Lepisosteus oculatus: one gene and its partners. The protein of the gene in region 2 purifies or fractionates together with the protein of the main gene of each other region. This does not show direct contact. Links are inferred from orthologs where the notes say so. Each region holds a gene or a part of one and is shown on either strand. Other genes may lie near its edges. The genes, in order: mad1l1, mad2l1bp and lbr.

Region 1 (10,326 bases), on a different chromosome or scaffold from region 2:
GAGCCGGGAAACTACAGAACGCAGTGGGAAGTAGCACTTTGAACCCACTCTGTTGCAGAAAAGCCAGTGGCCCAGTTTTTAGGTAGGTAAAATGGACAACAGAGAGTAAAGCAGTTCAAAATGGGACTTCTCCATGTGCTTCTCCATGTATCGGGATGAAACAACATTTGGTACCACCTGTTCTATTCCTGCACTCCTCCTAATTTTACCAGCCATCACTAGCCTTGTTCCATTTGTGCTGAAGGTTACCCACACCAGCGCATCCCACAAAATGCCACTCACTCCTACAGCACTTCAAACATGTCTGGTGGCACTGCAAGACAACAGAAAATCTCTTTCTTTCCCAAATGTAACGGATTCATCGTAGTTCAACCTGGTTTCCAGGGTCTTTCGTTTCATTTACCCGAAATGCAGATGCTGTTGCAATCTTTCAAACACTTGTGCCTCAAGTTCCCATTTATCCTTCCAATAAGGGTATTGTCTGAAACAATGCTATCTTTTTAACCTTTTCTACTTGCTCATTACCAACATGGCTTAATGGTGATAATTAATTTGTTTTTCCAATTTTATGTGCTTTCTAACAATGTGATATCAGACTTTCACTTGAGCCACCATTCAGAAATATTCAGGTACAGAACAGTCAAGGTCTGTTTCCAATTGGCTTTGTAAAGTCATTTCAAAATACTGTACAATAGATTAATGAAATTATAAAATGTACAATTATACATCCATCCATTTTCTACAGTGCCCTGATCAGTACTGAGTCTATCCCGGCAAGCAAACAGGTGCAACTAAGGCAGGATACACCCTGGACTAGACACCAGTCCATCACACAGACTCACTCGCTCACACCAGGCCCAGTTTCCCAAGAGGCCAGTTAACCTACTGTACCAGCATGTCTTTGGACTGTGGGACACGAGCACAGGGACAACATGCAAACTCCACGCAGACAGCACCCCAGGTACGGAACTGAACCCAGGGCCCGAGTGCTGAGAGGCAGCAATGTTAACCACCGCGCCACTATACGGCCCATAATCACATGTCTTCCATGAAAATAACACAAAACCAAACAATCCTGATGATGTGCGTATTTTTGTACCTTTACTCTGCCTGCCCCCTAAGCTCCTTTGAAGTAACCCTAAGGGGCACGCATACAAATATCCACCGTTGAAAACCATCTATATGACGTGATGGCACAAAATTGATCAAAATTATGAATTAAGCCCACAAAAAAATCTGTGAATTAAAAAGGAAAGCCACATATAATGGACACTACTAAAATACGTGATACAGGCAGGCCGATAATAGCAGAAACTGTTTGACATTTCAAATGTACTGAATTGTAACAAACTGAGCTATTTGTGAAGGAAGAAATAATAATTCAGATGCACCTACAACACTCGTCTCTTTTTTGAAAAAAACTATAAATATCGTTCTCTGCAATTTCCTACTCAGGGTTCAGGATTTTTAAAGTAATTATCTCCTCAGGTGGGGGCTCTGATATACCAAACAATCTCAAACGCTCTATTCTTCAAAGTGCAGCAAGGCATGCATGGCAGAACGATTATATACATTTATATAGCAAAAACAATACTCTGTATTCCCCATCTCCAGTTCTTTGCATGGCTTGTTTCTGAACAATTTTTCATGTCATGGAGTCAGAGAAAAAGAAAACACAGCATGAAAGATAGACAACCTTTCTGTGAATTTCTACTTTCATTCTATTCAGACTCAGGTCCTACTGCCCATCTTCACGTAATTATCTTAAATATACAGCAGATTTTTGTTTTACAGGTGATTACACAGAGCAGTCCTTTTCTTAAAAGTAGAATTAGCAATAAAACAACTTGGACCCGAGTGTGAAATGACAGTATCTGAGACCACAGAACAAAAACCAGAAGATACAAAGCTGAACTTTGAGAGCGACCACCATGCAGAATTGTGTTTAAGACCCCCTGGCGGAATGAAACACAGAGATCAGAACTGCATCTTCAGGGCTCACCTCCAAGTCCCTGGCACTGGTGTGGGCTGCTTTTTCCAGCTCAATGCGGGCACGTTTGTGACTGAACTCCATCTGCGACTTCTCTTGGGCCATTTGTAAAAGATGGGTCTTGGAGAAGATTTTCTGAGCTTCCTCTTCCACCTAGAAATACATCGATAGTCACACAGCTGTTACAAGCTGTTAATATAACTGTGTGCACTGCTGTATCAGGTGATGGTGTTAGTGCCCACATCCCCAACACTGAGCCCTACAGCACAGGCCATGTGCTAGTTTTCTTGGATGCACTGTGCAACAGTCTTATACCTGGTCATCGGAGAGAGGTGGTGATGGCTGATGTGCCAAACTGAGTAGTGGTGTGGGATAAAGTCAGCTTTCTCCACCCTGCTTCATTCAGCGAATGGCTCGCTACCTGCCAGCGCACGGCCATGGAATTTCCACCCCGTTCCCCCTGCCTCAACCCCAGAGAGGAGCTGTTGTCTGCGTGGAGGTGAAAGGTTCATGATCACGGGCCACGTGATCAGATGTCTCTGCTGCACGCGTGAACGCCGGTTGTGGGGACATTACTGCAGTAGCTTGCAGGGGACGACAGCGTCGTGCCAGACTGTTGTTCTCTCGCTGTGGCCTGACTGGGAGTCGAGACCGGCCAACCAGTGAGATGTGTCCAGTTCAACGTTTGTGTTTATACTTTCGTTAAGTTTTCATTTGGTTGGACTCCTTGTCTTTGTGGATCTACTTGATTCAATCACGGAAACACTGTTTCCAATGTTACACTGTTTTCACTTTCTGTATGTGCATTAGTTTCATTTTACTTGAATGAAAACTTCTACCGTCCATGATACAAAGAAAATGCAAAATCCCGAGCCAGGGATTCTCCGGGACATTGGTTGACTTGACGCCGAATGAGAGGTTATAGTTTAATTAATGTCTCGATTAAGATTGAGACTGATCTGCTACTGAACTGGCTTATACTATATAGTACTTTCACAAAAATACAGTTTTATTAACTGCTTTTCGCAGTAACATATAGATTGCTCTTAATAGTGAGGCTGAAAATGTGGATTTTTAACAGCACTCAAGAGAATCCAAACAGCTCTCTTAACACCAGACACCAATTTGAAACTGGTATGAAGAACCTTCATACCAAATCTACATTAAATAATTTCCCCATGGCAAAGTAAGATAAATTAATTCCATTACTTACAATGCAGAGAAAGTCTTTACTGATGTAAAAATCAGTAATGTTTTTTTAAAAAAACAATCAATGTAACATACTGTCCAAAGGTGTGTTGATCTAACATTGTTACTAAAAAAAAAAACATTTCAGACCAAATAGTTAAATAATATTTGATTTCTTGAGAATCATGCATTTTAATTTTGTAATCGTGCACAATCTAATAAGCTCACTGTATGCATCTTGCATGGCTGAGCTCAAATGCTTATCTAGAGAACTGTACTCACCTTAAACTGGTAGTTGTACTGGAATTGCAGGTCACTTTTACTCGCGCTGGTTTCAGGCTGGCTCGTTGAAGCGTCATGTTGCGAGAGGAAACTCTCAAATGACTTTAAAGTGTTGAAGACGGTGGTATTGTCCTGCATGTTGTCCATTTTGAACTGGTTTTACTTTTTTCTTTAGAAAACAATCTGGAAGGCAAAGAAACGCACCTGAAAAGTGTCCGCCAAGCTCTCACCGCTACCGCTTGCAAAGCAAACAACCCTCAACAAAGTTTCAAAATGTTGTTTATGTTTATAAATCGTGTTATGACTGCTCCATTATGCTCAGTATCCTTTTTTTAATAAAAGCAGGAACAGATTTCCAAGCAATGTTTTCGTAGTATTGTCGAAGGTCATCATTAAGCTTTCCAAATGACTTCACTCGTGCAATAAAGTGGATTTTAACGGTTTAATATCTTAATGTTTGCGATAAAGGCACGTGAAAAGCAAGCTGAAGTTTGCATTTGCTTGGCCAGTGTGTTGCACACGAGTACTGTACACAAGAAAACTTAAACTATATATGCACAACTGTTTGGGTCAACCAAATTTCCAAAACATGCATCCATGTAATAAACCAAAATTTCAGCTGTCTAAGCACAACTCATATTACTTTACAAAAAAACACGACCATGTCAAAAACATGTAACATTTTTGAGAACACGCAATTTTCGATGATACCTTATTCCTTACTGCTTGGATCTCCCTCCTCCAACCCAGAACAGATCTACCTTCTCGCGAGAGTTCCTAGATGCTTGAGCGTAACGAATATAATAGCGGGGCTTAAAGGATATGATCGTTTACCGTAATACCTAGTCACCCTCACCATTTTTATAGGATTTCTGAAATTTGCAGTGGTTCAAATGTAATAAATGCTGCCCAGACCCTAAAACATGTATTTATTACTATTACTGGATGGCAGTACTCGGTTTATTTCTTCTTAGTTGGGGAAACATTATATATTAAAACAACAAAATACAAATGGGGAGTTTATAGCATGGATCTCCTTTTAGTCCATATCATTCTCCATTCACCAACTGCACAAATCTAATCCTTGTTTTATTTTTGAAATGTATAAAACTCTGCTCTTCACACACACACACAAACAAACACCATAAATCACAGGCCTGCAATACGTTACAGAAAGAAGTACGTACTGTAGTTTAATACAAAGGTCATGATGTCAAGTCCAGTGAAACCGAACACGTTTTTGTCACTTCAAATAAAATTACATTGCGTTAACAATAGGTTCATCATCTGTTTATAAAATAAAACCCAAGAAACCAAGATTTAAGGCTTTACAGTGTCTCGTGTTTAGGCCCTTACAGTGTGTCTGCAGCAATGAAATGTTAAACTCATGTTTGTTTGTTTGTTTTTCATTCTCAATTTTGGCAACGTCTCTTGCTGGCCTTGGGATAAAGTGCACATCATTTTGAAGTTTTTTTCCCAATTGTAATCTCACAAAACTCCAGTTTTTTAAACAATTGAAAAAACTGGAGGAAAATGCTAACAATCATTTGTCCTTGTAACTCTTGGCCAGGAAAAACAGCTCGGCGGACTCCTTCCTGCTGGCTTTAGGCTTTATGGTCCTGACTTCCTTGAAGGCCTGCGCCAGCTTCTTGTGGAGCTGATGGGCCAGTCCTCCGTCCCAGACTTTACACAGCAGAGTGCCTCCCGGACGCAGGACCCCCTCGGCCATGTCCACCAGGGAGAGACACATGCCGACCAGCCTCTCGTGGTCCAGCTCCCTGAAGCCGCTGGCGTTGGGCGCCATGTCGCTCAGGATGACGTCGGCCACGGAGGCCGGGAGAAGCTCCTGCAGGCGGGCAGGAGTGGCCGCGTCCGTCACGTCGCACGGGGAGAGGAAGTGCGCTCCGTCCAGGGGCGCGAGCCGCAGGAGGTCGACTCCGACGACAAAGCCCGCCGGCAATCCGGGATCTGAAACAAGGGAGAAGGCAGCACTACAAGCTGAACCAGTCTCATCCGTGTTCATGTACACAGAGCTTCTAATGCGGGGGTGGGCAACTCAAGTCCTGGGGGGCCGGTGTGTCTGGGTGCTTTCATTCCAAGCCAGCGCCTCACGAGCTAAACCAGGCGGTGACTAGCTACCTGCCTACACTGGGCCAACTGAACAGTTTCTCCCAGCTCGTCAGCTGCTGCGTCTTTGAAGAGCCCCACAAAACCTGCAGCGCCAGGACGGTCCAGTTTGGTGCTGACGTAACCGAGGTGCATGCTGGCTTCAAGGCCGTCTTAAGTGCTAAACTCCCATCTGCCCTGATCCTTATGGAAGCTGCCAAGCCCTAACCCCATCTCATCCAGTTCACCGAAACTACACAGGGTGTGCGCTTGTAATGTAAGACGATGTTGTGTTGGGCTGCAGTCAGACCCCAATTTAAAACACACCAAACATGCGCTCACCTGCCCCCGACGAGTTCACCCTCTCGACGGCGACCTGGCTCCACGCCCCCGGCGCTGCGCCGCAGTCAATGACGCGGAGCCCCGGCCTGAGGATGCGGTGCTGGTCGTCGATCTCCAGCAGCTTGAAGGCGCTCCGGCAGCGGTAGCTCTCCCGGCGGGCGGCCTTCACATACGGGTCGTTGATCTGCCTGGCGATCCATCGCTGCTCCGGAGCGCTCTTGCCTTTCGTGTTGTGTGGGCTCTTCCTCCAGCACCGAGCCGAGGCGTGCAGAGCCCTGCGCAGCATCCCTGGGAGAGGAAACACATCGCAACAAGTCCAAAACGCGCAGGGTCGCTGATCAAACTTTGTACGTATAGAGTGTACAATGCCGTGACTGTACGGTAAAGTTTCATACCACTGAGCTACACATCAACTCTTTATTCAAAGCAGGGCTGATTTCAGCCTTTTTTTCTATTGATCTACTTGATCAAAACAAATGGTTTTAATCCAAAAGGCTGAGGTCCATTCCTAATACGAACCTCAGCTTCATTTCTGCAAGACCCACTGAACCGACCTGTCATGTCAAACGAGTCCTAATTTGTTACTGAACCGCTTAAGTTTTAGAGGGTAGGACTAGCAGACCTCAGACACTTTCATTTTGAGGGGAAAATGCAATCACTTAATCTGAGATGCTAGTGGGTTACTAATTATTGGTTGCAAATTATATTACACTACAACCAATTCAGGAATAGCACCGGGCTGCATTGAGATTTTTGAATCCGTACAAAAGCGGTAGAACGAAGTTATGAATAACATCGATAATTAAAACTACATGAAGCCTTTACGTTAAAAGTTGCAAAATGTCACCTTTTCTCTGAAAGCACGTTTAAAAAGGGACCTTGATAGTACTCGTAAACATTAAGGATGAACACGCTTCCGTCACATATGACCTCCCGCACGTCCTCCCCGTGTTTCCAGTCGGACAGGTTTCAGGGTGGCACGCCTACAGTGAGCTGGGGAGTCATGTGTGTGGCTACCCGCTGGACTGACTTTCGAGGGAAGAGGCAGCTGTTGCAGAGTTACTGAATGTGCATCTGCTGCTATTGTTCACACATACTTTAGATGGTATCGTTCTTGGGTATGAGACTTGTTCTGTTTAATCAATTCACTTTTTTTTAGCCTTTAGGTCACTTTCAGATTGCTCATGCATGTCCATAGAAAATTATCTGACTATATGCAAGGATGTACTTGTATTATCCGGAGCTGGTGACGTCTATAGTAGTTAGGAAGGCAATTACTGTGACAAAAGAAGTTAACTGTATTGAGATGTGAATGAATGCGGTGTCGAGAAATGTACAGAGCAGGCTATGCAAATACAGCACAGTGACATTGTTCTTGTTACACTAAAACTTAATTAACGTTTTTCTGGGAATTTGTACGTTGTCTGGCCAATCTGTTTTCAGAGCAATTGTCCCGGCAATGATCACGGCACCTTACCGTACAAACTGTGAAAAATAATCAGTTTTGAGGCATAAAGTAGTGTGCTAAATAATATCACGCAATGCAGTATCTCACTGTTCAGAATCAAGTACATTCCATAGAAGTAATTTGAAAATGTCATATATACTGTATGGACATATATAACTTGGAGTAGTCTGAACTGTAGTGTTCAAATAAATTTTGAAGAATAAATGTGATAATATGGTATGCAAGTGTTAACTGTTGTTTTTAAAACAATTGTTTCAGGATTTCAGACCGCAGACCTGCAGCCGTCATAAAGCAATGGAACCGGCAGAGCTGGTGTCTTTCTGAACAGCTGAAGGGCTTCTGTCCGAGGGCTTGTGCCCTGAAACAAATGCCTTTTTTATGAACTTAAAGTTTGTGTCCGTGTGCACGAGCGCTTCCAAAATTAAGTCCCCAATTTGTCCATTTGCACACTGCGCAACGTCTGGGGGTCAGCGGCGTTCATACAGTAATCTTTCCACAGGTGTTTAGTCAGGTGCTTGACATGAGAGTGTGATCCTGGTCACTGTCTCTCCCGTGACATTAGAGCGCGGAGAGGGATTCAGTCGTGTGTGTGTCCTTCCCTGCAGCAGCGCAATGATCACTACCAAGCTGTTGACCCTGGTCATGGTGGTACAGCCTCAGCGGGTTCTCCTGGGCATGAAGAAGCGTGGTTTTGGCGCAGGGAAGTGGAACGGCTTTGGGGGCAAAGTTCAGCCGGGAGAGACAATCGAGCAAGCAGCGAAGCGGTGAGTCCAGTCACGAGGAAGCCTCATACCCCACAGAAGGTATTCAAATAAGCGAAACCCAAATATGGTAAACCCACAAACATTTCAGTTTAAGCTTAAGTTTATTTTTTTAAAATATGAACTATTTGAAATACAACAAAAGGTACATATGTTTTAGAAGTGTTTTTGGGGGGGGCGTAGGAATAAAACAGTGATCCCTCAGTGCAGAACTTATAGTTGAGCCACTAAATATTACGTACACTTAATTTGGTTCATTTGAATTCACGATTGGTAAAGCATCAGTAAACATTCATGATCTTAAATTTACCTTAAAATGTCTAATGAAATAATGCCCCACTAAAATGCCAGCAGAAGCCTGAATCAGATGGGTCGTGCTTGGTAGTGATAAAAACTACCAAAGACCTATCTTCCGATAGTGTACCTACCGTTTCAGCACAATTGATTTCCAGATGTGTGTACAACCACATACAGTACCTCTGCACTTGAGCTGTCCAGTTTTGGTTATGGAGGGCTGGCGTGTCAGCTGGTTTTCAAGCCAGAATAAAAATACACAGACGCACTGACCTTTCAGGACCAGGGCTGGGCATCCGCAGTGTAAGCTTGACATCATTAACCTACGTTATTAAACTGCATTAACTTAGATCTTGTGCTGAATGCAAGATAATGTCGGCTGCTAAAAATTGGTTTCCCATTGCTGGAAAGAGAATTTTGTTTAAACATTTAAATTGAGAAGTGAGACACATTTCAATTTTAGTGGCTCTGCAGTGACAACTAGCATTATTTTTTTTCCCTGCACTGGAGCATAATGGACGGTATTGCTTTGTCAGGGAGTTGCTGGAGGAGAGCAGCCTAACAGCTGACACCCTCGAGAAGATTGGAGAAATCAAATTCGAGTTTGTCGGAGAAACGGAACTGCTGGATGTTCATATTTTCAGGGCTGACAGCTTCCACGGAGAGCCAGCCGAATCGGATGGTGAGATTTTATTATCGGACGCATTTGTCTGCAGTCTAAAGCCCTGTACCTGAATTTGCCTTTTTTTCCATTAAAAACATAAAGAATTGTAATCTGGACTGTTCTTTCTGGTATGGCAATGTGATCAAATTCAATCATCGTCGCCATGCACTGTAAGTCAAGTCCAGGAGAGATTCTGTAAGTAAAATTACTTTGATGTAAAATTCCTTCAGATATCTGCTTCCTTTCAAAGCTATGTTTGTTGGCATTATGAACGATGTTGATAGGTTGAGAAAAGTCAGTGAAACTCTACTGTGCGTAGGTTTTGAACACGTTACTATTTCCAAATCTTGATCAGGAGGCAGCTTTTTTAAAAGAAAACCCTAGTGCAGGGATATAATGTACATGTTGATAATACAATAACAAATAATACTAAGATTAGTATTAAGTACTAAGATTAATACAAAATGTCACTAAGCTTTGTTTTTAGCTTTTCGGCTCTGCCTATGCAGAAACGCTGACTATGTGTTATCTTATTCACTAATTGTTCATTTTGTGAATTTTTAAAGTTTTAAAGTGTTATTGTATGTGTTTGTGTATTGTTTGTGTTTAAGAAATGCGACCACAGTGGTTTGACCGGGACAGAATCCCCTTTGATCAGATGTGGCCAGATGACATTTTGTGGTTCCCTCTGATGCTGCAAAAGAAGAAGTTTTTGGGCTATTTTAAGTTTCAAGGACATGACATAATTCTCGAGCACAAATTGGAAGAAGTGCAAAGCTTGTAAAATAATCTGGATAATGGGACCATGGGACCTTAAAGGACTTGGATACCTTCTGGTAGATGGTTCTCTTGTCAAGATATAAAATCTCCTTATGTATACTGTACCATAACGGTTGATAAGACATTAAGGTTAAATATACTTTTGGGTTTTAGTCTTGCGTCCTGTAACTGGCATAGATTCAGGGTTAAACAGCTGATCTGTCCTTTCTTGGTTGTTGCATTCCAGGGCTCTTCACAAAGTTTAATTCTGTGTTTGAAGTCACAAACCTTTTCCAAACAGTTTCATGAAGTTTCCTGAACTGCCAAGAAACCAGCTGGAATAAGGTGCTGTGTTTTTGAAAGCTTACAAATGTTGACTTGAAAGATGTGGGTAATTTCGCCACGCTGAACAGCCATTATGAAATTGCAAATAAAAAACAAATCGGATTATTCCCCCCTAAACACATAATTT
Region 2 (9,999 bases):
TAAACAGGCGCCGTCCTTCGGATGAGACGTAAAACCGAGGTCCTGACTCTCTGTGGTCGTTAAAAATCCCAGGGCGTTTCTCGAAAAGAGTAGGGGTGTAACCCCGGTGTCCTGGCCAAATTTCCCATTGGCCCTTACCAATCATGGCCTCCAAATAATCCCCATCTATGAACTGGCTTCATTACTCTGCTCTCCTCCCCACTGAGAGCTGGTGTGTGGTGAGTGTTCTGGCGCACTATGGCTGCCGTCACATCGTCCAGGTGGGGCTGCACAGTGGTGATGGTGGAGGGGATCCCCATTACCTGTAAAGCGCTTTGTGTGGAGTGTCCAGAAAGCGCTATATAAGTGTAAGCAATTATTATTATTACGCAGTCTTATATCAGCTAGGTCATTAAGAGTTTGCTTCATACTGCCTGACTAAACTGCTCTTAACATGTGACCGACTTAAGATGAACACACACAGGTGAGAGTGACACTGTGTCAGATTCTCCTTGTATCACTGTGTCAGTGTCTTTTCTTCTGCCTCAGTCCAGATGAATATCAGAAATCAAAATAAATTTGCTAGTGATTAAGAACCCAGCTGGAAAAAAAACAGCAGACACACAGGAGTAATCCGGGACCAGGGCTAAGAACCACAACATTACCATAACGCCAAAGCACAACAACAGACAACTAACAAACTACAAAACGTGATAAACAGCTGTATAGCTATTATTGTAGTATTACAACAGAAAAAAACAACTATATAACACAACAACAACAAGGACACAGAAAACATCTGTCAGCTGACTGTCCACAATCAGACAATCAAACAACCTTCTCTCTTCCGTCCTGTGCCCTGACAGCACTCTCTCCCTCTATTGGTTCACTTAGCGAAAAAAAAATAATAGTAGTTGATACTATGACTACTGTCGTCTTAATGTTCATTCCTAACCACATCTCAGGGCTGTTATTCTGAGTTAACCCCAACCTCACGGGTTTAAAACGCTCAAGCCCAGCCAGCTGCCTTCCTGTTTGTAAATTACATGCATTTGTAACATCGCGGGAGCTCGTATCTGCTCATCCGAAACAGAAAGCAAGTCTGGAACACGAACTGCGGCTCAGCACAAACATGCTGCAGTCCGGACGGGTTCTGACTGGGTCCGAGACCCGGTCTCCGCTCGCTCCGCGGTCTCACCTCCGGGGGCAGGTACGGCGGGTTGTTGCTGGGCTTCGTGCTTCTGCTCGCCCGGTTCTTCGCTTTCTTGCCGTTTTTCGAGGTCGACTTTTTGGACATCATCCCGAACCCGTTCCCCGAACCGGCAGCCAGTCCCTGCGAGCCCGACTTCAAGCCGGAGCCGGTACCGAAGAGCTCCGCCATCCGCGAGTCCATCTTGCGGCCGCGGCCTCTCTCCTCCCCCTCAGATGCGTCGCGGCTCTTTCGACTTCCGAAAACCGGGACAGCGCCGGTAACGCATCTGCTGGGCTACAGAGAGGGAATAAAAACAAAAACACTGCACCCCCTCTGCACCCGAAAACGATACCTCAGCACTGAGCTCACTGAAGCGGATATACGTCAAGGCTGATGACAGAGAGGGAAATATTTTCGATGACGTTCACTGAATATTCATGAGGAACCAAAAGTGGGCTGGGATTTCAATCCAGTCTCTCCTCCTATTGGCTGTGACTCACATCAGAATCCCCGCCCACGGAAGAGGGCATGTCTGCGCTCGACTCTTGCCTGTCTTTGCATCAGCGACGGGTGAGGTTAGAGGTGAAGAATGTCAAATGAAGCCACCAATATTGTTGTCCTCATTGTGAAACTACTCCTAGGTTGCAAATGCCAAAACATGTTTTCTTAGTTCAACAAAAACAAAAACCATGGCCGGCCCAAGCTCCCTGCGGGCACTAGGCAAGGTCTTGGAAAGGGGCCTCCCTTATTCATGATTTGCACAGACATTACTAGTATCAGCTCCCAACACAACCTTGTTTTACTGTTTAGAACCATTAAATAAATTAATTATTTAACTGGAAAACGTACTGTTCAACTTTGAAGAGCACATAATATGTTACAGACAAGAACAAGAAGCATACATTTTACAAAGATAACAGGCCAAGCAAATGGGAGCATCCAAAAAAATGTTCTATAAATCATTCGACTAGATTTTCGGGAGGCAAAATCATCAATTGCATCTTCATGCCATAGTAGTCGACCCACAGCGTGACTGATGCTCATGATGGCCTTGTGCCAAGGCTGACCTCAGGAGTGTTTTAATCATCTTGAGCTCTGAGCAGCTCCTCTCTGCTCCTGCCACTGTCACTGGGAGAGAGACTGCAATCTGAAGGGCTACAGGTTGGGTTCACGATACCCCCATTCATTGAAATACAGCAGAAACCCCAAGGAAAACAAATATGTTTTAACTCTGATCACGTATAAACACTGAACAGTTTTTTGTACTGCGCATTCACCTTCAAGCTTTTGTTTGGCCTAGCAGCACTGATTTTTAGCCAGGTATCCCACACAGCTTGTGTACAATTAGAGAAACATGAATCTGTTAACTTCAAGTAAAACACCTCTCGTAGTCTACATCTTGATCTTGAAAATGTGGTTCGTCTACTATTTGCTACTAACATGGATCTGATAGACTCAAAAGCAAATGAAATCCAAATTACATTATCATGCAAATGATGTATTATTAAAATGATTGGAGCGTACCTCTGTTTTGAGATCGCTTATCCTGCTCTTCTTTTCTGCGCTTCAGAAACTTATTTGGTTATTGGTTATGATTGGTTATTTTTTGAGCGGGCTTCCATTAGGATTATCCACATGGAAATGTTTCCATGGAGATCCTTATCAGTGATCACTGAATATTCATGAGGAACCAAAAGTGGGCTGGGTTCTTAACCCAATCTCTCCTCCTATTGGCTACAACTCAAATCAGAATCCCCGCCCACAGAAGAGGGGATGTCTATGCTTGACTCTTGCCTGTCTTTGCGTCAGCAATGGGTGAGGTTAGAGGTGAAGAATATCAAATGAAGCCAGCAATATTGTTGTCCTCATTGTGAAACTACTCCTAGGTTGCAAACGCCAACATGTTTTCTTAGTTCAACAAAAAAATACTTGCAGGCCCTAGGCAAGGTCTTGGACAGCAGACTCCCCTGATCACGATTTGCACAGACACTACAAGTATCAGCTACAAATACAACACAACAACAGCAGCAACAGAAAGTGCCACACTAGGGAATTTTTCACTCACAAATTGAACATGCTGAGTAAAAAAAATGTTGTGTTGCACATTAAGGGGGATCCCTGATTGCTCTAGACAGTCTCCTAGTTTGCCCGTGCCCACACAACATACTGTAGTGATCTCAGGATCACAGGATCTCATCCAGCTGTGTCTTGGGAGAAGCCAGGCTATCATCTTCAGAAACATGACAGAGTATCCTGTTCCCTACTCTCACAACTCTTTTTGTCATTAGACACCTCAGGATGTTGTCTGTGGAAGTGTAACATTTTTCTTCTTTGAATCGGGGCTGCAGTAGAGCAAATCTCTATCAGGTTCTTTGACTTGGCAATGAAGTACTGAACTGAACCGTAAAGAAATGTCTCCTGTTCTTGGTTTTAAATGCACTCCTACCTAGTTTCCACTTGTGTCCTGTGGTTTGTGTTTCGCTGTTCCACTGGGCTGGAGTTCATTTCAGGATTTTGAATATTTGTATTAGGTATTCTCTGTACAAGCCTAGAAATATTTAGGTCCTTTTGCCCGACAGTGCAGGACATTCCTTTGAGTTCAGGAATGTATGTGGTTACTCTATTCTGGGCTGATTGCAGAGCAACAATTTTATAACACACAGATAACAGTTGTATACAACATGCTAAATTAGGTCTTTCTGGTACATCAAGTCAAGTCAAAGTCAAGTCAAAGTTTATTTATCAAATGCACAACAATACAGCGTGCAGCAGTAGTTGCTGGCAATGAAATGTCTTTTTCTGCGAGCTCACAAAAATCACAAAATTCACAAAAACACAAAAATCACAAAACTGAGGTTACATTTTTGAAATTGAATAAAACTCAATATGAGTAGAGCTGTTATGTTTCCATGGTGTATGCAATATATACATGTAGTGCAGTTATGCTGAATACAGTGAAAACTGTGTGTCCATGTAGCCATTACAGGTGATCTGATAAAGGAGCTGCAGATTGGCTATTTCGCAGTTTTATTGCCTGGAGGTAGAAGCTGTTCCGTAGTCCGTTGGACTTGGACCGAATGCTTTGGTACCGTTTACCAGACAGTAGGAGGGAAAACAGTTTGTGACTGGGATGACTGGGGTCCTTGAGAATGGACCTGGCCTTCTTCAGACATCTAGCTGAGTAGATCTCCTGGATGCTTGGTAGCTCACAGCTGGTGATAAGCTGCGCTGACTTCACCACCCTCTGCAGTACTTTGCGATCCCGGGCGGAGCAGTTCCCATACCAGACAGTGATGCAACCAGTCAGGATGCTCTCAATGGTGCACCTGTAGAAGTTGGCCTGGATATGTGACGGCATGCTGAACTTCTTTAGCCTGCGGAGAAAGAACAGGCGCTGCCGTGCTGTCCTGACCACGGTGTTGGTGTGGTGGGTCCAGGTTAAGTCCTCTGAAATGTTAACTCCCAGGAACTTAAAACTGCTGACCCTCTCCACTGCAGTCCCATTGATGTAAATAGGTGTGTGGTCTCCTCCCTGATGTTTCCTATAGTCCACAATCATCTCCTTTGTCTTACTGATGTTAAGAGAGAGGTTGTTCTCCTGGCACCATGCTGTCAGGGTTTCAACCTCCTCCCTGTATGCATTGTACAATTTCGACAAAAAAAACCTTGATACAAATTAATTTTGTCTTAAGGTGTGTTCTGTATCTTAGTAAGATCACTTTATTAGCCATATAAAGTTTCTTGCATTAGGAATTCATCTTTCACAAACCCCAGCCTGCTCTCCATGAGACACACAGACAGGGAGAGAAGCTTGGGGTCAGAGTGCAGGGTCAGCCATTTATACGGCGCCCCTGGAGCAGCTGGGGTGAAGGGTCTTGCTCAGGGGCCCAACGGAGTAGGATTCCTCTGCCAGCCACGGGACTTGAACCAGCAACCTTCCAGCCACAGGCGCAGATCCTGAGCCACAGAGCCACCACTCCGCCCTGTACATTTGCTGCACTACGTGTCTTAACACTGAGGATATCCATAAGCATAACTGGTAATATTGAGATTTACTCTTCTGCTCTCTATGTCTGCATGACAATTGTGGAGTCCTGATGACTAGTAAAGACAGTGAAAACGTTGACTGTGTGCGCCCAGAGAAATTAAAGTATTAAAGGTGGACAGTGTCTCAGACAGTGGAAGACTGCTGCCGCCTTGTGGTCAGGCGTGAGATAGACCTGAAGACCAGCGGCATGACATCTTTATTCGTGAAAGATAAGAAAGATGAAGTCCACAGCGGCTCGTCGATTGGAGCTCAGCCCGGTTTCCAGCGAGTTAAGCGGACGAGAGAGCACGTGACTCCCCTCCGTGTAGGAATTATCCCCCAACTTATTATTACACAACTGGGTGAACTGGAGCAAATGGGGTACAGTATCTCACTCAAGGCACACCAGCAGCGCCTGCAGCAGGGACTCGAACCCGCAACCTGCCGCTGTTGTGTTCAAACCCAATAGGTTATACCGCTCCCTTATTCAAGATTCAAGAAGAGCGAGCAGAAAATAAAACAATCTTAATAATAAAGCCGCACGCCGAGGTGACCAGGCGTCAGGAATGTTTTTTACATTTTACCTTTCAGCGGCATCCGGGGCTACGGCACTTTTCGACAGAGGGCAATGAGATCTTATTTGTGTGCCAGAGTAATTAAGGAAGTGTACTGTACAGTCTAGGCGGTGTCCGACATTAAGACGTCGGCGTATGCCTCAGCAGCTGGACTGCCGCTGGTGCAGCTGCGCAGACTGTAGGGCTCGGCAGTCCGTCTGACGTACAGGAAGTGACGCGTTTTTAAAAACCTGAAAGAGATTTAAAAAATAACAATACAAAACCAAATCAAATATACGATTAAAATTAAGAGCGCACGGCACGGCCGGGGCTGAGTTTTGCGCTGGGGCTGTGAGGAGCCCCGTGCTGTCAGACCCGACTTCCTGCGGGCTCCCGTGATGCCGCAGCCGCGGCGGCGGATTCAAACCGAGCCGGGGCTGAGGCTGAGGATGGCGGAGCAGCGGCGGCCGGGCAGCCCGGTGACGGTGTACCGGGACCCGGAGCCCCTGGACCAGAGGATGGCGGTGCTGGACATCGGTGCGGCAGTTACGTCGGAAAACACAGACGTCTCCTTGCCTGGCAAGACGGGAGCGGGCGGCCGCGGCGAGGAGGAGAAGGAGAACCGGCTTCCCGGGCCGGGCCAGGCCGCAGGTGCGCTCGGCGGTGCCGCCCCGGCTGGACAGGGGCCTCCGCTGGCCCAGACACCTCGCGTGTCCTGTATCAGGAATAGGAATCCAGCTAGATTAATAGTAATCATTTAATTGGGTTAAGAAGTTCATTTCCGAAAGAACTACATAAGCATATTAAATATTTTACTACTTTAAACATGTTTGTGGTTTGTGTGGGCATTCAGTATACAGACCTACGTTTTTGTGTACTGTAGCCTAGACGGCTGTACTTTTGAGATTAAATTTGTCATTAAAACGCTCCTGACAGTTTGGTCTAGGCGTCACTGATTGCCCGCACTAGAGAATAGGTGGGTGTTGTTGTCCAACTGTCTGATGTTTCACACGTGGGAGCTCTTTAGGATGAATAATTTACAGCTTTTCAGACCTGGGCGAGCTGAAGCCCCCAGGTGTGTATTTCCAGCACAAATCAAGTTCTGGTTGAGCTGATCTGGAATGGTCTTCCAGGTTAGTGTGGGTTACTGAGCTCCTGTGTTTTACAACAGTGTAGGACTGTCCAGTGTTGTTTTCCTCCTCTGTGCATGTGGTGTAGAAAATTAAATCCCTGACAGGAGGATTTTCCGCTGTGATTTCCTTTCAGTTTTAGTGGAAGTCGACACTGCGACTGGGGGGTCAGCCGGCTGCCCTCGGTGTGTGGACGCCCCGGCCAGAGGCTCTGGGCCTCGCGCGCAGGCGGAGGACGGCCGTGTGTGCGTGGTGTTCCGCGGTGCCGTTGCCCACACCAGCTGCTGCAGGTTTGCCTGCGAGCTGCTCAAGTTCGTGCTGTACGAGCGCCAGCAGCTGCCCGCGCCCTACGACCAGCTCCTGCTGCTGCAGGAGGCGACAGCGCCGGCGGGCCGCCAGGTGAGCTGGGCGCCCGCACTCCTGTGGGCACGGACACGCGGGCCTGGCTCGCTATCGGGACTCCGGGCGGTGCACGGAGCAAGAGTACAGGAAGCGCCGCTCAGGTCTGACCTCTGCCCTTCCTCTGCAGGGCGCCCTCCGCAGGCCCATGAAGACGGGCGGCCTGGACGGCCGGCGCTGTCAACAGACGCTGCGGGAGCTGAAGGAGGTGCTGCAGAACCTGGAGGTGCTGTTCTCCCTCACCCTGGTGCCCCGCGTGCTGCTGCTCCTGGGGGGCAACGTCATGGCGCCCAAGGAGCTGTTCGAGATCGATCTGGAGGCCCTGGTCCTGGGCGAGGAGGCTGGCAGCCTGGGCACGGCCGCATGCCTGCGTCAGCTTTTCCACACCCTCTTCGTGGCGGACGTCCTGTTCAAGCCGCAGCCCAGGAGCCTGGTGGCCACCACGGTCATGGTGCTGGGCCACCGGGACTGCGGCGTGGGCTGGTTCCGGCCCAGGCAGGACTACACGGTGCCCACCAGGGCGAAGAGGCAGGTGATCGCTCTGTCCTCCGACACGCACCCCCCCACCCCCGCCCAGGGCGAACAGCGGGACTGGGAGGATTATATCTGGTTCCAGGCGCCTGTGGTCATCAAGGGGTTTTGCAAATGAGAGACAATGGGGTGAGAGCCAGACGAGATACGCGTTACACTAAGCGATGTGGCAAAATAAAGTTGGGCATGAGTCAGCATGGGACTGTGGGGGTTATCCGCACAGGGAGAAAGCCCCCCTTTCCTGCTTTTTACCTCTGCGGAGCCTCCTCATGGTCAGTGCGGGAGGCCATCGGTGCTGTTTTTTTAACTTGTAAGTTGTGTGGATGTCTTTCAATTCTAATGTAAATTCGTTTAAAGTATTAAAGTTTTAAAGAATGCAGCACAGGAAGTGAGATTTTCCTTCCCTAATGATGTGGAAATTCATTGAAGGTTACAGCAGCAGCCGTCAGTTTCATTGCTGTTGGAAGCTTTTTATTGTGGAGAAGGAGTAGACCTGATGGTTTTTCCATGGGCCTTCTCTAAAGTTTAGATTAAATCTGCTGTAAAGTGCCTTTCTGAAGAGCTGCAGTTTAGTGTGTTGTCAGATTGTGTTAAACTCTTAATCTAAACATCATGTCACCTTTCACAATTAGTGCTAATTTAGAATCCCCTTCAGCAGTATCACAAGCCCATTGTGGAGAACCCAGTCTATCAGGTTTAGATGCCTCATACAATCTCATTGATCTGAACTAACAAAGCCAATTAGTGGTCAGTAAGTAACAGATCTCAAAATCAGAACATGCAGCAGTGCTCCAGGACCAGGCCAGCAGGATCCTCCTCTTAATTTTTTTCAATTTTCTCCACTTTCTTTGCGAACTCGCGGAAGTCGTCGGTAAGCAGCTCTGGCTCCTCGAAGGCGGCGAAGTGCCCCCCCCGGGGCATGTAGGAGTAGGAGACGATGTTCTTGTAGCGCCACCTTGCCCAGGACCGCGGGCAGTGCAGGAGCTCGTGGGGAAAGGCCGCCAGGCCGGTGGGAACGTACACGCCCACCCTGCCAAAACACGCAGGCCAGGGACGGTGTTAAAACAGGCCTTGATTTTAGCATCAGACCCACTGCTGTCTCCCCAGCACTGCAGCTCCCTGCTAGAGCTGTTCCACACCTGTTTAACCCAGACGAGCACCGTGGCCAGGAGCCCTACTGAATACCTGGACAGAGGCGGAAGTCAGACATGACCCACTAGTCTGCCTCAACCTGCCTCAGCCTCTACCCAGTGAGGCCCTGCCGGGAGCCTGCACAGCGCCAACAGGAGAGGGAAGTAACAGCTTCCCTGCGCTGTTATGAAGGTTTTGAAGTTGCATCCTCCAAGCATGATTTATCTAATTGGGAACCAAAGGGAGAGGAGGCCAGAAACTGAAAGGAGTAACCCTGTAAAGACCCCTTGTTCAGGGTGTCCAGGAAAGTGATCTCACCTGGCATCCACCCTCTTGTGAATGTTCTCCTTCAGGTTCTCTTTGTAAAACCGCATCGAAGGCACAATGGAGCCTGTGGTCCAATACAACATGACGTTCGTCAAGAGATCATCGAGGAAAAACTTCCTGGAAGAAAAGGCGGATCTCCTGTGAACAAACCACCTCGTGTCCTGCTGCTGTCCCCGCCGGGTCACACAGCTCTTGAAACTCGTTCCTAAGCAGAGGCGGGTCCCGGAGCAACTGCAGTATTTCCAGTGCTGGTTTATACCTGCTGCACACAGCACTGGTCCCCAAGGTCTTAGCTCTACCAGTTCTGTGCTCTTAGCATTTTGAAAACAAATTATTAAAATGTTCAAATATACATTAATTTCACAGTCTATGTAGAGAGAGGTCAGCATTTTATTTATTCCAGTCCCTGGAGGGGGTTTTGGGAGCAGCAAGAGGTTCTTACCTCTCCAGCCCCCCGTCCTCCAGGCCTCTGTGCTGGAAGTCTGTCCAGGTGGAGAACTTCTCCAGGATGTAGGCAGCCAGGCCCACAGGGGAGTCGTTCAGCCCACAGCCTGCAGGGGGGAGACACAGCCCCTCTGAGCTCTGGTGAGTAGCAGACCAGCTGCATTTCAGAGCCCAGTGTTCTCCCAGATCATTTTCATCCCAGTTTAACATTAACTGGGCTAATATCGGCTGACTGCTCACGTTCTTCATTTCCAGATTTTTAATTCCCCTATTTTAATTTACATT
Region 3 (10,737 bases), on a different chromosome or scaffold from region 2:
AATTTGGCCAGGACGCCGGGGTTACACCCCTACTCTTTTCGAGAAACACCCTGGGATTTTTAATGACCACAGAGAGTCAGGACCCCGGTTTTACGTCTCATCCAAAGGACGGATTTATGGTTTTATGATTAAGTTAATCACAGAAGATTAATTCTCAAATTGCTGACAGTGGGCAATCACGGCAGTACAGGTGTTTGGACTAAGAACTGGTTGATAGATAGGAGAGGAGTACAGATAAAGTGTAACTGCTCAAACCAGAATAACACATACAAAGATTGTAGATAAGAGCTTGAAGACACCTCTGAAAAAGACTGATGTGCTTCTTAAGAATGTTTTATCTTGAAAACAATACAAAAATGGATTATGGATGCAATAAAAAGCCAAGTAAAATATCTGGATATATAGTCAGGAGTGCAGAATTAGGATTAAAGTTTTAAGCATACTATGTTAAAATTGTACAAAGCACTAGTAAAACCATATTACATAAATAAAGAAACAAATGTACAACCCTAGTCACCATATTACAAGAAAGATATTATTGCTATGAAATCTGTCCAGTAGAGAGCAACCAGTTACACAAAGGGTTTAAAGGAGTCTCCTACACTGACAGATTAAAAGAACAGATCTTTATTAAAGCTGAACAGAGATGAGATTACTATGAGGGGACTTGATTCAAGTATCCAAACAAATCTTAAAAGGCTTTCACAAAGTCAGTCCAAAGGATTTTTTCCAGAATCAAGTTAAAAACAAACCAGGACACACGGTGAAGCTGTGTTTAAGTGCATTCGAACCTGAGAACAGGGGGGCACATCTCTATACAAAGAGTGGTGGAAGTATGGAGCAGCCTTGCTGCACTGCTGTCAAATATGATACCCTGACTTGTTTCAAAAAACATTTGAAATGCTTAGGTGACCTAGCTACTAGCCATCAAGTGAACTAGATGAGCCTTCTCTCATGTGTAACTTTCTAACTTATGTTCTTAAGTTGGATTTACATAATCAATAAGAAAAACCGTTGTACGCAAACATTCGGGCACCACTGTAGCTTGGATCTTTTTGAATAGTTAGCAATGTGCCTTTTTTTAAGCTTGAGTGCTCATGTCCAGAGATCGAGACTTTGCACTAATTCAGATTAATTTTAAGAACAAAACCTTGTAATTGTGGCATATTGTGGCCTTATCTAAACCCCCTCACTCGTACAAAGTACTTTAAGCAATGTTTTAAGACAATGGGCTTTAGAGAAGCAATGCTTTTAGAGAATGGGCTTTAGAGAACACAGGACATCTTACCCGAATATCAGATTCCTTCAGTTCCAGTTCAGTGCCATCCTTGTACTTCACCGTGTAGAGCTCAGTGGGAGCATCAAAATTCATCACCTTCACCTCATAATAGAGACTGCTACCAGGCCAGCGCCCCATCACCATCTCCCCACTCTGAAACTTGCTGCTCGGCATTGTCTAAAACCTACCTAGAAACAAACAATTTAAAAATAAAAATAAAGTAATTTAAGGCGCACAGCTGGAAATTGGAAAATAGGAAGAACTCAGTTTCTCAGAACAGGGGAAATTATGCATATAACAGCCTCCTTTTATCTGGATACTCTAAGGAAGATTAGGTCACAAAACAGTAAGCAATTTATAAGGATTTGTACAATTAATGTTACAATGAACTAATCCTAACACTCAACAGTGTGTTGCAATAACTTTCCCATCTAGTGTGAAATACAACTTATTTCATACTTTAACCACATGGCACTAAATTTGAAGGAAAATGACAACAGCTGTTTAAGGATTGTACATTTCTGACATCTAATAACCATGTCTAAAACTATGAATATGGTAGAACTTGTGATTCTGAAGTATGATTCAGCTGCTGAGCCTTTTTCAAGTGAGCTACACATCAACACAGCTTCCCACTCAAACATAATGCAGACTTCTTATGAACCCACAAAATCCTTTTCAGACCCGGACTGTCTTGTACTTCTTGTATTTATCTTTTACTTTGACATAAAATTCACAGGAACAGTATTTTTCAAGTTAATTAACATCCCAGAAGAAACAGTAAAGAGGCATTGTACTCATACAGTAGTAACAAATACTAAAGCTAGGATGTAAGTAGTTTTGTGAGCAATGTGCTTTTCACCAAACTGCTGACAACTATTCCCAGCGTGGTTACTCTGAACGTTTGAAAACGGTTCAATACTGCTTCTTTTGTTCACTTTGTCAATAGCCATTGTACAAAGCAATCAGCAACATACAGATACTTACTGAAAGTCCTTTATCAGACCTCCCTGAATTATCCAATCATACAAAAACACACAACTCTGATCCTTGGTATGTAGTTACCTTGTACACAAGGGGGCGTGTAATGGGATGTGTAATTATGTTCTTTGATTTTTTAATGTCTGCAGCAGTACTGCCTCTTTTGTTGATGTTTCTTTTTAGGTTAAACAGACCATAAGTGAACAAGAAGAAAAGAAAAATCAGCAATTTAAAAGTGCTGATGCACACACCAGGAGAAGACAGTGGCAGATTGTTTATAATTCACTCCACTGCAGCCATTCATTCTAAATATGTAAATATTAATAGAAATCACATTAGTAAGTCACACAGTTACTAAATTTCTTTAGTAGAATAGACAAATAATAGAAATGTAAATGTCTAAAACTCAAAACTAAAAGATTCCATAGAATAAGTAATAAATATATAACTACTGTACTCCAGTATGACAGCACTGGAATTTCAGGAGTTGGATGCACCAGTAAGAAAACGAGATCCTGTACTTTATTTCATTGCCAGGGACAGTCCAACAGCAGGTCAGATGGGGAAACTGACAGAGCCACAAGCAGCACTGCTGTCACATTTCAAGAGGGAAAGCTGGTATCGCAACGGTGTTACATACGTAATATAGAAAACCTTATCTTACAATAAATAATACCAGGAACAGTAAAAAAAAATCATAAGGTTGCCTTGGCGAGTTTTAGTACGGTACATGTCAATCTATCCCTTAAATGATACTCATCTCAGTGGCCCAGTTTGCAGGCTTATTAGCTTTGAACATGATCTAAGGGTGTCCGAGTCTTTTGTTCCCTTTCCTCCGTGATCATTATTATTCTTATTTATTGTTGTTGTCATCCTGTAAAGCGCTTTGAGAAGCCACCTTTAAAGGCGCTATATAAAATAACGTTTATTATCATCAACTTCGGCAGCCGGGAAAACCTCTCGCCCTGGCCTGGGAATAAGGGAGCCTAAGAGGCGGGGCTTCGCACTACATTACTTTAACCCAGTCTCTTCTGGGCGGCTTAAGGATTTCACATTTTAACGACCTGAGAGAAATTCAGGCTGCACTGACAGAAGTGAAGTTTATTTATATGAAAGTAAACCCACAGGCGGCCCTCTGGAGGTTAGTGGTCGCAGACTCTTCTCCACTCGGCCAGACTACTGAACACTGAAAGCGGCCCAAACTTTAAAAGTCCGCCACGTTGTTCCAATAAACGCAAGAGACGGCAAAATGTTGTGTTAGACGTACAGCGCAGAGGCCCGAGCAGCGCCGCAGAATTTCGCTTAAAACAGGAAATGTGGCCTCACAGTGTCCTGGTATCTCTCTGTACATTTAAGCAAAATGAAACCTCGCATTGCCGCGCTAAGAGAGATGCCCCGGTGGTGTTTAAAAGCAAGAAATGAAAATGCGTCACCAACGTAATTCCGGTTTAGCGCCGCTCTTTCTCAAACCTGCTGTAGTGGGTTCAACTGAAGTGAACATGAGCCGAACAACTAACCTCTGACATAAAAACAACCTGAAAAGAGCTGCACCCCGATTTTACAGAGACGTTTGGTTGTGGATACGTACAGCAACATAAAACGGCATTAATTGCTGCTTGGTTTTTGTTTTACTAAATGCAACATTGTCATCTTGTATAAAAAGACCAGATCGAATGACTTTAAATTACAGTACAAAGGCGTCTGCATTATAAATTATGCAGGCCACTTGGTAAATATATATAAATTAAAGGTGGAAGACGGGCACGGACTCTCGTTTCAGTTTCACCAAGTAACAGGTCAGAGAATGGCAACAATATTCAGAAATTAAAGTCTCCACCGTTGGGAGAAAACAAGTCCCGAAACAGTATCGGCTCCTTTAACAAACAACAAACCGGGTGACACCGGAGTGGAGGGAAAACGTCACGATTCAAACATTGCTGGCGTTTAAACCCAGTTATAAAGCGTGTGGTGCAGCGCCGAGCGCCAGGAAACGATGCAAGAACAATCTGAGCAGGTGCGAGTCGCCCCCCAGTTACTGAACATGAACTGGCGCCAGAGTCAAATCAAAAACTGGAAAAGGCAGAAAAAAACAACGAGAAGACAGACATGTTATTAGGCCTTTCGCGCGAAATGAGAGAAACAACGCCCTTAAGACCACGTTTACCAAAAAAAAAATACCGACCGATCCCTGTGGTTATTATTACGACTCTAATGGTTATTATAAACCACAAAAGGCACCTTATTGCCACAATCCAGGGATTAAAATAGGGAGAACCGCCACCAAAGCGCGGAAAGTAAAGAAGTCACCAGGTTAAACCCAGCACATGTAAAATTCGCCCTTAAGGGTTAACTTGGAAGGGTTTTCGCGATCTCTGGTTCGAGTTTTGCGCCTTCGCTCCAGTTTTCACTTCACGGATCCCGAGGCAGAAGAGGCGACCACAAAACAACATCGGCGTGCAATTTACACCCAAAAGTTACTACTGCAATCCAGAGCCTGCTAACCAAGTGAAAACAAAATGAAGTGTGCTTACCTTGGAGTCACGTACACCGAAATCAGCGATTATGACCCAATATGTGATGTAATTAGTTTAAAAACGATTAATAATTATAAGTCTAAACAGTACGTTCCACCTCCCTCTCACAGGCAAGCCCCTGGCGTCGGTGATAGCGCGAAGGCTACTGATTGGTCCGTCAGAAAGAGTTTGAAAATTTCAAGCGACGCTGATTGGCGAGGCGGGGATCACGGGTCGACAATGATTGGAGCTAAGGCGAAGTCAAACAAACCGGCTTGTCCTGCAGCTCTTTGAGTCTTTTAGGCGAGTGACACAAAATGGCTGCGGTAGAGAGTGGTGTTCGGAGCGCGGGAGCGGAGAGGCTTTTGCTACCTCTTTTAAGAGCATGATCACCGAGTGAATAAACCGTGCGGACTTTCTTTGATTTTGTGATATCCACTGAAATAAAGGTTTCGTTTAAAAAGGTATACGTAAATTAACCGTTGCACATTTTGTATATCTGTATTTTATTTTTAAAGTGATTATGAGCATATTTTGCACACACCTATTTATTTCGTATTACAGTACGTATTTTAATTTTTCGCCAATTCATACGTCTGTTTTTGCTTGTTTTGGGCTAGGCTGCTGTAAAACCTCAATTTCCCTTCGGGATCAATAAAGTCTTATTCATCTCTTGTGTTCCGTAGTCTGTTGCGACACACTCAGGAAACCAACGGGAAATCCTATTATTTTAAACTGAGGTGCTCAATTACTTAACATTTTAGCATTTGTGCATTTCCATTTGTAGCTAAAACTAACGTACACAGTAAGGTAGCTCTGATATAACTTTGCTCTGCTGATAGGCAACGTCAGTTAATACGCACTTGAGCATTACGCTAAAATTGGTTTATTGTTTCTTGTAATTTCGCTATGATTTGGTCTAGGCAAATACCCATTTATAAAAAAGTTATAGATGTGTACGCAACACAAGAGATGAATAAGACTTTATTGATCGCGAAGGGAAATTGAGGTTTTACAGTAGCCTAGACCAAAACAAGCAAAAGCTAATCTGTATGTATTATCTTGCCTTATAAAATCACTAACAGCATTAAAGAAAGATAAAAATGGACAACGAAGGAGTGAAAAGGGGGCATTCCGTTACTTGAGATTTGTAAACCCGGCTTTTGCAGCAAAAGTCAAATGCGAGTTTAAAAAATCCATTTTTTTTCAGATCTCATCACCATCAACTCTTATTGGAATTATTTAGATTCTGTCTTGGTAATCAATATCTCCGTTTTGTCTTCAGCACATTCACAGTAAAAAATCATCTATAGTTCTATGACAATCAATGATTTATGATTTGTCTATTTTGGCATAGGATTTGGAATGTAATGCAATTTCCTTCCAGGTTTCGTTGTTAATACCATTTTATTTTCTCAGTTTGCCAAAAAGAATGTAATGTAAAAACGTATTGTTTTTCACAGAATACAGTCCCTTCCTCTGCCAAAAAACAATACAACACATCTTGATACCAGACATTGCAGATTTGTTGCCGTGTTTCAGAAATAGATCAATGATAGACCCAACCTACAGTAGTGTGATCACATGATACTGGTAAACATAAAAGGGTCTGTTTTCCGACCTGTTTAGGTGAATACATAAATATGCACAGACTATAGTGGGCTTATCAGGAGCTGAATCATCTTGGAAAACGATATTTGGAGCGGTTAAAAACACAGTACTACACAAAGGGGATGTGTCCAATCAAATGAAAGAATGGAGCATGAGGTATGCATCAGCTCTGACATTCTTAAAAAAACTCTAAAGAAGGCAGATATAATATAGGTATGTAACCTTCTACCGTGCACTCAAGTCACAGCTGTTACAGTTAGGAGGAACATGTGAAGAAATAAACCATTGAAAGTGCTGCCATGTCATTCATGCCTCAGTGCACTACTTCCTAATCTCAACTCAAGATTAACAGTTAAATTAAGGACAATGTCCAATGTGGGTGTTGTAAAATGCTACCGATATGTGTCTAAAATGCACGTTTTAGTTTAGTGTAAGAAATGTACAGTATAAGGAAATTGTGTGAGAAAAAAAGCTTAAGTTTAAGAAAATATTTTTATTGAAACTTCTTTGTCACCTGATTGTGGAGAATCTGGGCAGCATGATGGTGCAGACTTAGTTTGCTATCTGTCTGGAGTGTAGATTTTCTCTGGGTGCTCTGCTTTTCCAAAAACAAAAACAACATCCCGGTAAGTTAACCGGCTTCTGGGAAAATTGGCCCTAGGTGTGAGTGTGTCTGTCTTGTGATGGCCTAATGTCCTGTCTATGGTGTGCCCTGTCTTGTGCCGATTGTTTGCCCGGTTTGGTTCCAGCTCCCCTGCAAACCTTGAAAGAAACAGTTAGAAAATGAATGTATGTTGAGATTTCCTGAGTGTTACTAACTTTAATACAACATGTATTTCTATATAGAGTGAAGCAGTAAAAATGTGTATCAAAAGCAATGACACTTGTTGCGTTTTAATGTCTCTTAATATATACAGTATAGACAACAGCATTGTATTATACTAGTTCAGGTGGGTAGCTGCGTCAGCATGCGAAGGCTGCAAAGGAACAAGTAATAGGTTTTATTCCATGCTTTAAAAAAGAGAAGAAAGAAAACACAAGGTTTTGGTCATGGTCCAAATGTTGTGTTTTCTTCTCTTTTCAGCATGGAATAAACCTATTACTTGTTCCATTGTATAATACTTACCTGTTAAATACCATCCAGTCCAAGGAACTGTTAATACGGTATGTATTCTACATAATACTGGTGTGTCCCGGTTTTGTCTGAAGTTCCATCTACATGTTGATTGTTTAGATGCCTATTTGCTCAATAATGTGTTTTAAGACGATATTCTCAAAACAGACTGTGAGGAAGTGCTTAAGGAATCTCTCAAGAGGAATCCATTGCTGAAGCCCCTAGATTTTCCACTTAGAAAAACATCCCCCCCCCAATGCACTTTTCTGGCTCAACTTTGAGAAGTTTCCTGAGAAACATGTTTTTACTATGAAAGCACGTCAAAAAGAAAGAATTTAATATCAGCTGTTGCCCTTTACCTGTTGTATCAAGCTTCAGCTGTATTGCAAAGCTTAACTTGTTGGAAAGCAGATTATTTTGAAAAAATATGTGAATATACTGTAGAGACGCAATTGAAACAGCAATTATGTTTTGTGTTAATTAATGTTAAGCCTGCACAAAAAATGCACTTCCTTGCACAAGGCTATGATTGGATTTTAAATATATAATGCTGGTTATTGTAGAGCATGAATTTAGAACACCTGTTGAACAAACGGATGCTTCTACAGCAGAGCGTTCATGAACAGTGCTTTTGTTTATTTCCTGATTAAGGCGCAACCGTTGAAATATAACAGCTGCATATTATATTTCTCGATTTCTTTCCTCATTGGCTTGTGCTTACATTTTTCAGATACCACTGTTACCATTGTTAAATGGCAATAAGAGTACAGCACATTAACCCAGGAAAGTCTTCTGGATTTCCTTCACACCAGTCACATCTGAAATCACATTACTCACAGACCCCCTGAAGCACTCTGTAACAGGACATTGTCAAAACATGTCTGTCACAGGCAGGTAGGTATGGGCTGAGAACCTGTCAGGAAGAGGAAGAAATTTATTCCAAATTGGTGAAAAGTCCTGACATTTCTTGGGGGCAGCCAAAAAAACTAAGTGTATTTTTCTCTGAATGCCCAGTGATTTTGCAATCGGGTCTATTTCAAGTAGGAAATACATGTACATTTCTGGAATGGCTTAATTAAAGCTTATGCAATTGAGAACCATACAGCAGATTTCCAATTAGAGATTACAGTATTTATAGTTTCAGGTGCTAAGCAGTTGCAACCTTCAAGTTGTTCATATGCTTGTATAATTCATAAATTGAAATATCTACCCATCTAAGACCTGAACACAATGAAACGTTTCCTGTTAAACAAATTACAGTATTAGTTCACGTAATAATTAAGTTAAACCAACATCTCGGCATGACACTGTGGCATTAAACCTAGGATTAGGAAACACTTCTTTAAAGATTTGTATGTTCCCTCTGGATGCTTCAGTTTTCTCCCACAGTCCAAACACATAGCGCTGGTTCAATTGGCCCTGGGGTGAGTGTTTGTGCCTTGCGAGTGGCTGGCATCCCATCCAGGGTGTATCCTGCCAGTTGCTTGTCGGCATAGGCTCCAACTCCCCTGTTGACCCTGAATTGGATGAAGGGGGTGGATGGATGGATGGGATGCAAAACATTGATCAAGTCCATCATTTGCAGCCCATGCTGACGTGAACATTCCAACAAGACAAAGGACGTCCTCATGCAGCTCATCTAAACAAAAGCTTTCATGCACAATGAGAATGTGACAGCTCTGCTGTGCATGCCCTACACACTAGATTTGAGCCCATTGAATGTCCATGGGCTGAGATGAGATGAGATGATGTATCATCTACGTCCAGGAGGCAAGAGAACAGCTATTTAATGACAATGTTAATATAGCAAGGCATTGAGGCTCCATTTGTGTATTCATTTAAGTTTCAAAGCAACCGGAAAATACAAAGTGTCCAATTAATCTTGAGCCAACTGACTAAGCTTCTTACAGCATGCAGTGACTCCGTTAGCTAACTGAATATCTGTAACATGCTTTTAGAATTAAAAATGATTTTTATCTCTTACCTTATTAGTACAGTGTCTGTAAAAAATCTTAATGTTCAAAGGCTGCTCTGTAATTTTATGTTAAGTTTCACAAGTTTTTAAACAAGTATTAATTAATTTAAAATTATTTAAATCATAACACTTGTACATGTACATTGGAACAAGTAATAGGTTTATTCCATGCTGAAAAGAGAAGAAAGAAAACACAACCTTTCGGCTGTGGAGCCTTCTTTGGGTGTGCCTTTTTACTGCTAGAGGGCTTTAACTAAAATCATCTAAAGACTGATCCTCAAAATAAATCCTCATTTATTTACTGATCCTCATCTGATAACATGAACACAGAGTTTAAGATCAAAGGAAAAGATATTATCTTCAGTTACAGCCAGTAATCTCAGAATGACATTACCTTATAAATTACACAAAATGCCAGTGAAGGCATTTGAAATAAAATGGTTGGTTTTAATCAATAACCTGCAAATCAATGACCAATTCTTCTACTACAGACAAACCTGAACACTTTAGGGAATAGGCAATTATAGCTCAAAAATGTTTTGTATCCCCTCAGGGGAAGGAGACCTGTTTGTTATTTGAAAGTGGTCAAAAGTGCAGTCTAATAATTTCCTGTAAATCAGATTGGTTTAGCTGTATATATTTGTAAAAGAGTTAACATAACCTGGGTGGCCAGTGGTTAGCATTGCTGTCTCACAGCATTGGGGCCCTGGGTTCAATTCCTGAACTGCTACCAGTGTGGAGTTTGCATGTTCTCACTGTTTGTGTGGGGTTCCTCCAGGTGCTCAGGTTTCCTCCTACATTCCAAAGACACACTGGTTGTTTAACTGGGTTCTGGGAAAAAAAAGCCCTAATGTGAGTGTGTACATACATTTTTTTGTCTAAGTGTGCCCTGCAATGAATTGGTGTCCTGTCAAGAGTATCAATATATTGCGCCCATTGCTCGTCAGGATAAGTTCCAACTTCCCCACAATCCTATTGGATAAAGCCGTTAAAATGGATGGATAGATAGAACTAACTTGAAAGAGGTCATCACCAATGGCCCTCAAAATGAATCTGAAGTTAGTTATTGACTAGAAGATTACTTGAAAACATTTTTGGCCTTATTTTGTAACACAGCATTTATGCAGTATACATTCTTTACCATACAGTACCTCATATCTACTTGTAAATTACAACCATGACAGGTTCATAGACTCTGATTAGCAATAGTCCTGTACTATTTTGACAAAAACAGAATCAAGCAGTCCAGGATCAGTGAGGGCTA

Evidence for each region.
Region 1: the proteins of mad2l1bp (region 2) and mad1l1 purify together in Homo sapiens (co-immunoprecipitation; 4 studies listed by BioGRID and IntAct, with this or other methods). This does not show direct contact. The link is inferred for Lepisosteus oculatus from reciprocal best matches to the Homo sapiens genes MAD2L1BP and MAD1L1.
Region 3: the proteins of mad2l1bp (region 2) and lbr purify together in Homo sapiens (co-immunoprecipitation; 3 studies listed by BioGRID and IntAct, counting the BioPlex papers as one, with this or other methods). This does not show direct contact. The link is inferred for Lepisosteus oculatus from reciprocal best matches to the Homo sapiens genes MAD2L1BP and LBR.

Annotation. Positions count from the first base shown.
Region 1 is NC_090714.1:1,966,935-1,977,260, forward strand, and holds the start of mad1l1 (mitotic spindle assembly checkpoint protein MAD1), read right to left. Parts: upstream 4,538-10,326; 5' UTR 4,172-4,537; intron 3,644-4,171; 5' UTR 3,608-3,643; coding exon 3,461-3,607; intron 2,144-3,460; coding exon 2,003-2,143; intron 1-2,002. Other genes in the region: mrm2 (rRNA methyltransferase 2, mitochondrial), read right to left, coding at 5,004-5,428, 5,909-6,194; nudt1 (oxidized purine nucleoside triphosphate hydrolase), read left to right, coding at 7,989-8,140, 8,968-9,113, 9,707-9,879. UniProt on the Homo sapiens protein: Component of the spindle-assembly checkpoint that prevents the onset of anaphase until all chromosomes are properly aligned at the metaphase plate.
Region 2 is NC_090712.1:640,674-650,672, reverse strand, and holds mad2l1bp (MAD2L1-binding protein), read left to right. Parts: upstream 1-5,936; 5' UTR 5,937-6,150; coding exon 6,151-6,403; intron 6,404-7,018; coding exon 7,019-7,281; intron 7,282-7,411; coding exon 7,412-7,930; 3' UTR 7,931-8,054; downstream 8,055-9,999. Other genes in the region: gtpbp2b (GTP-binding protein 2b), read right to left, coding at 1,178-1,372; ephx5 (epoxide hydrolase 1), read right to left, coding at 8,632-8,842, 9,262-9,387, 9,713-9,821. UniProt on the Homo sapiens protein: May function to silence the spindle checkpoint and allow mitosis to proceed through anaphase by binding MAD2L1 after it has become dissociated from the MAD2L1-CDC20 complex.
Region 3 is NC_090697.1:58,796,848-58,807,584, reverse strand, and holds the start of lbr (delta(14)-sterol reductase LBR), read right to left. Parts: upstream 5,129-10,737; 5' UTR 4,792-5,128; intron 1,468-4,791; 5' UTR 1,454-1,467; coding exon 1,289-1,453; intron 1-1,288. UniProt on the Homo sapiens protein: Catalyzes the reduction of the C14-unsaturated bond of lanosterol, as part of the metabolic pathway leading to cholesterol biosynthesis.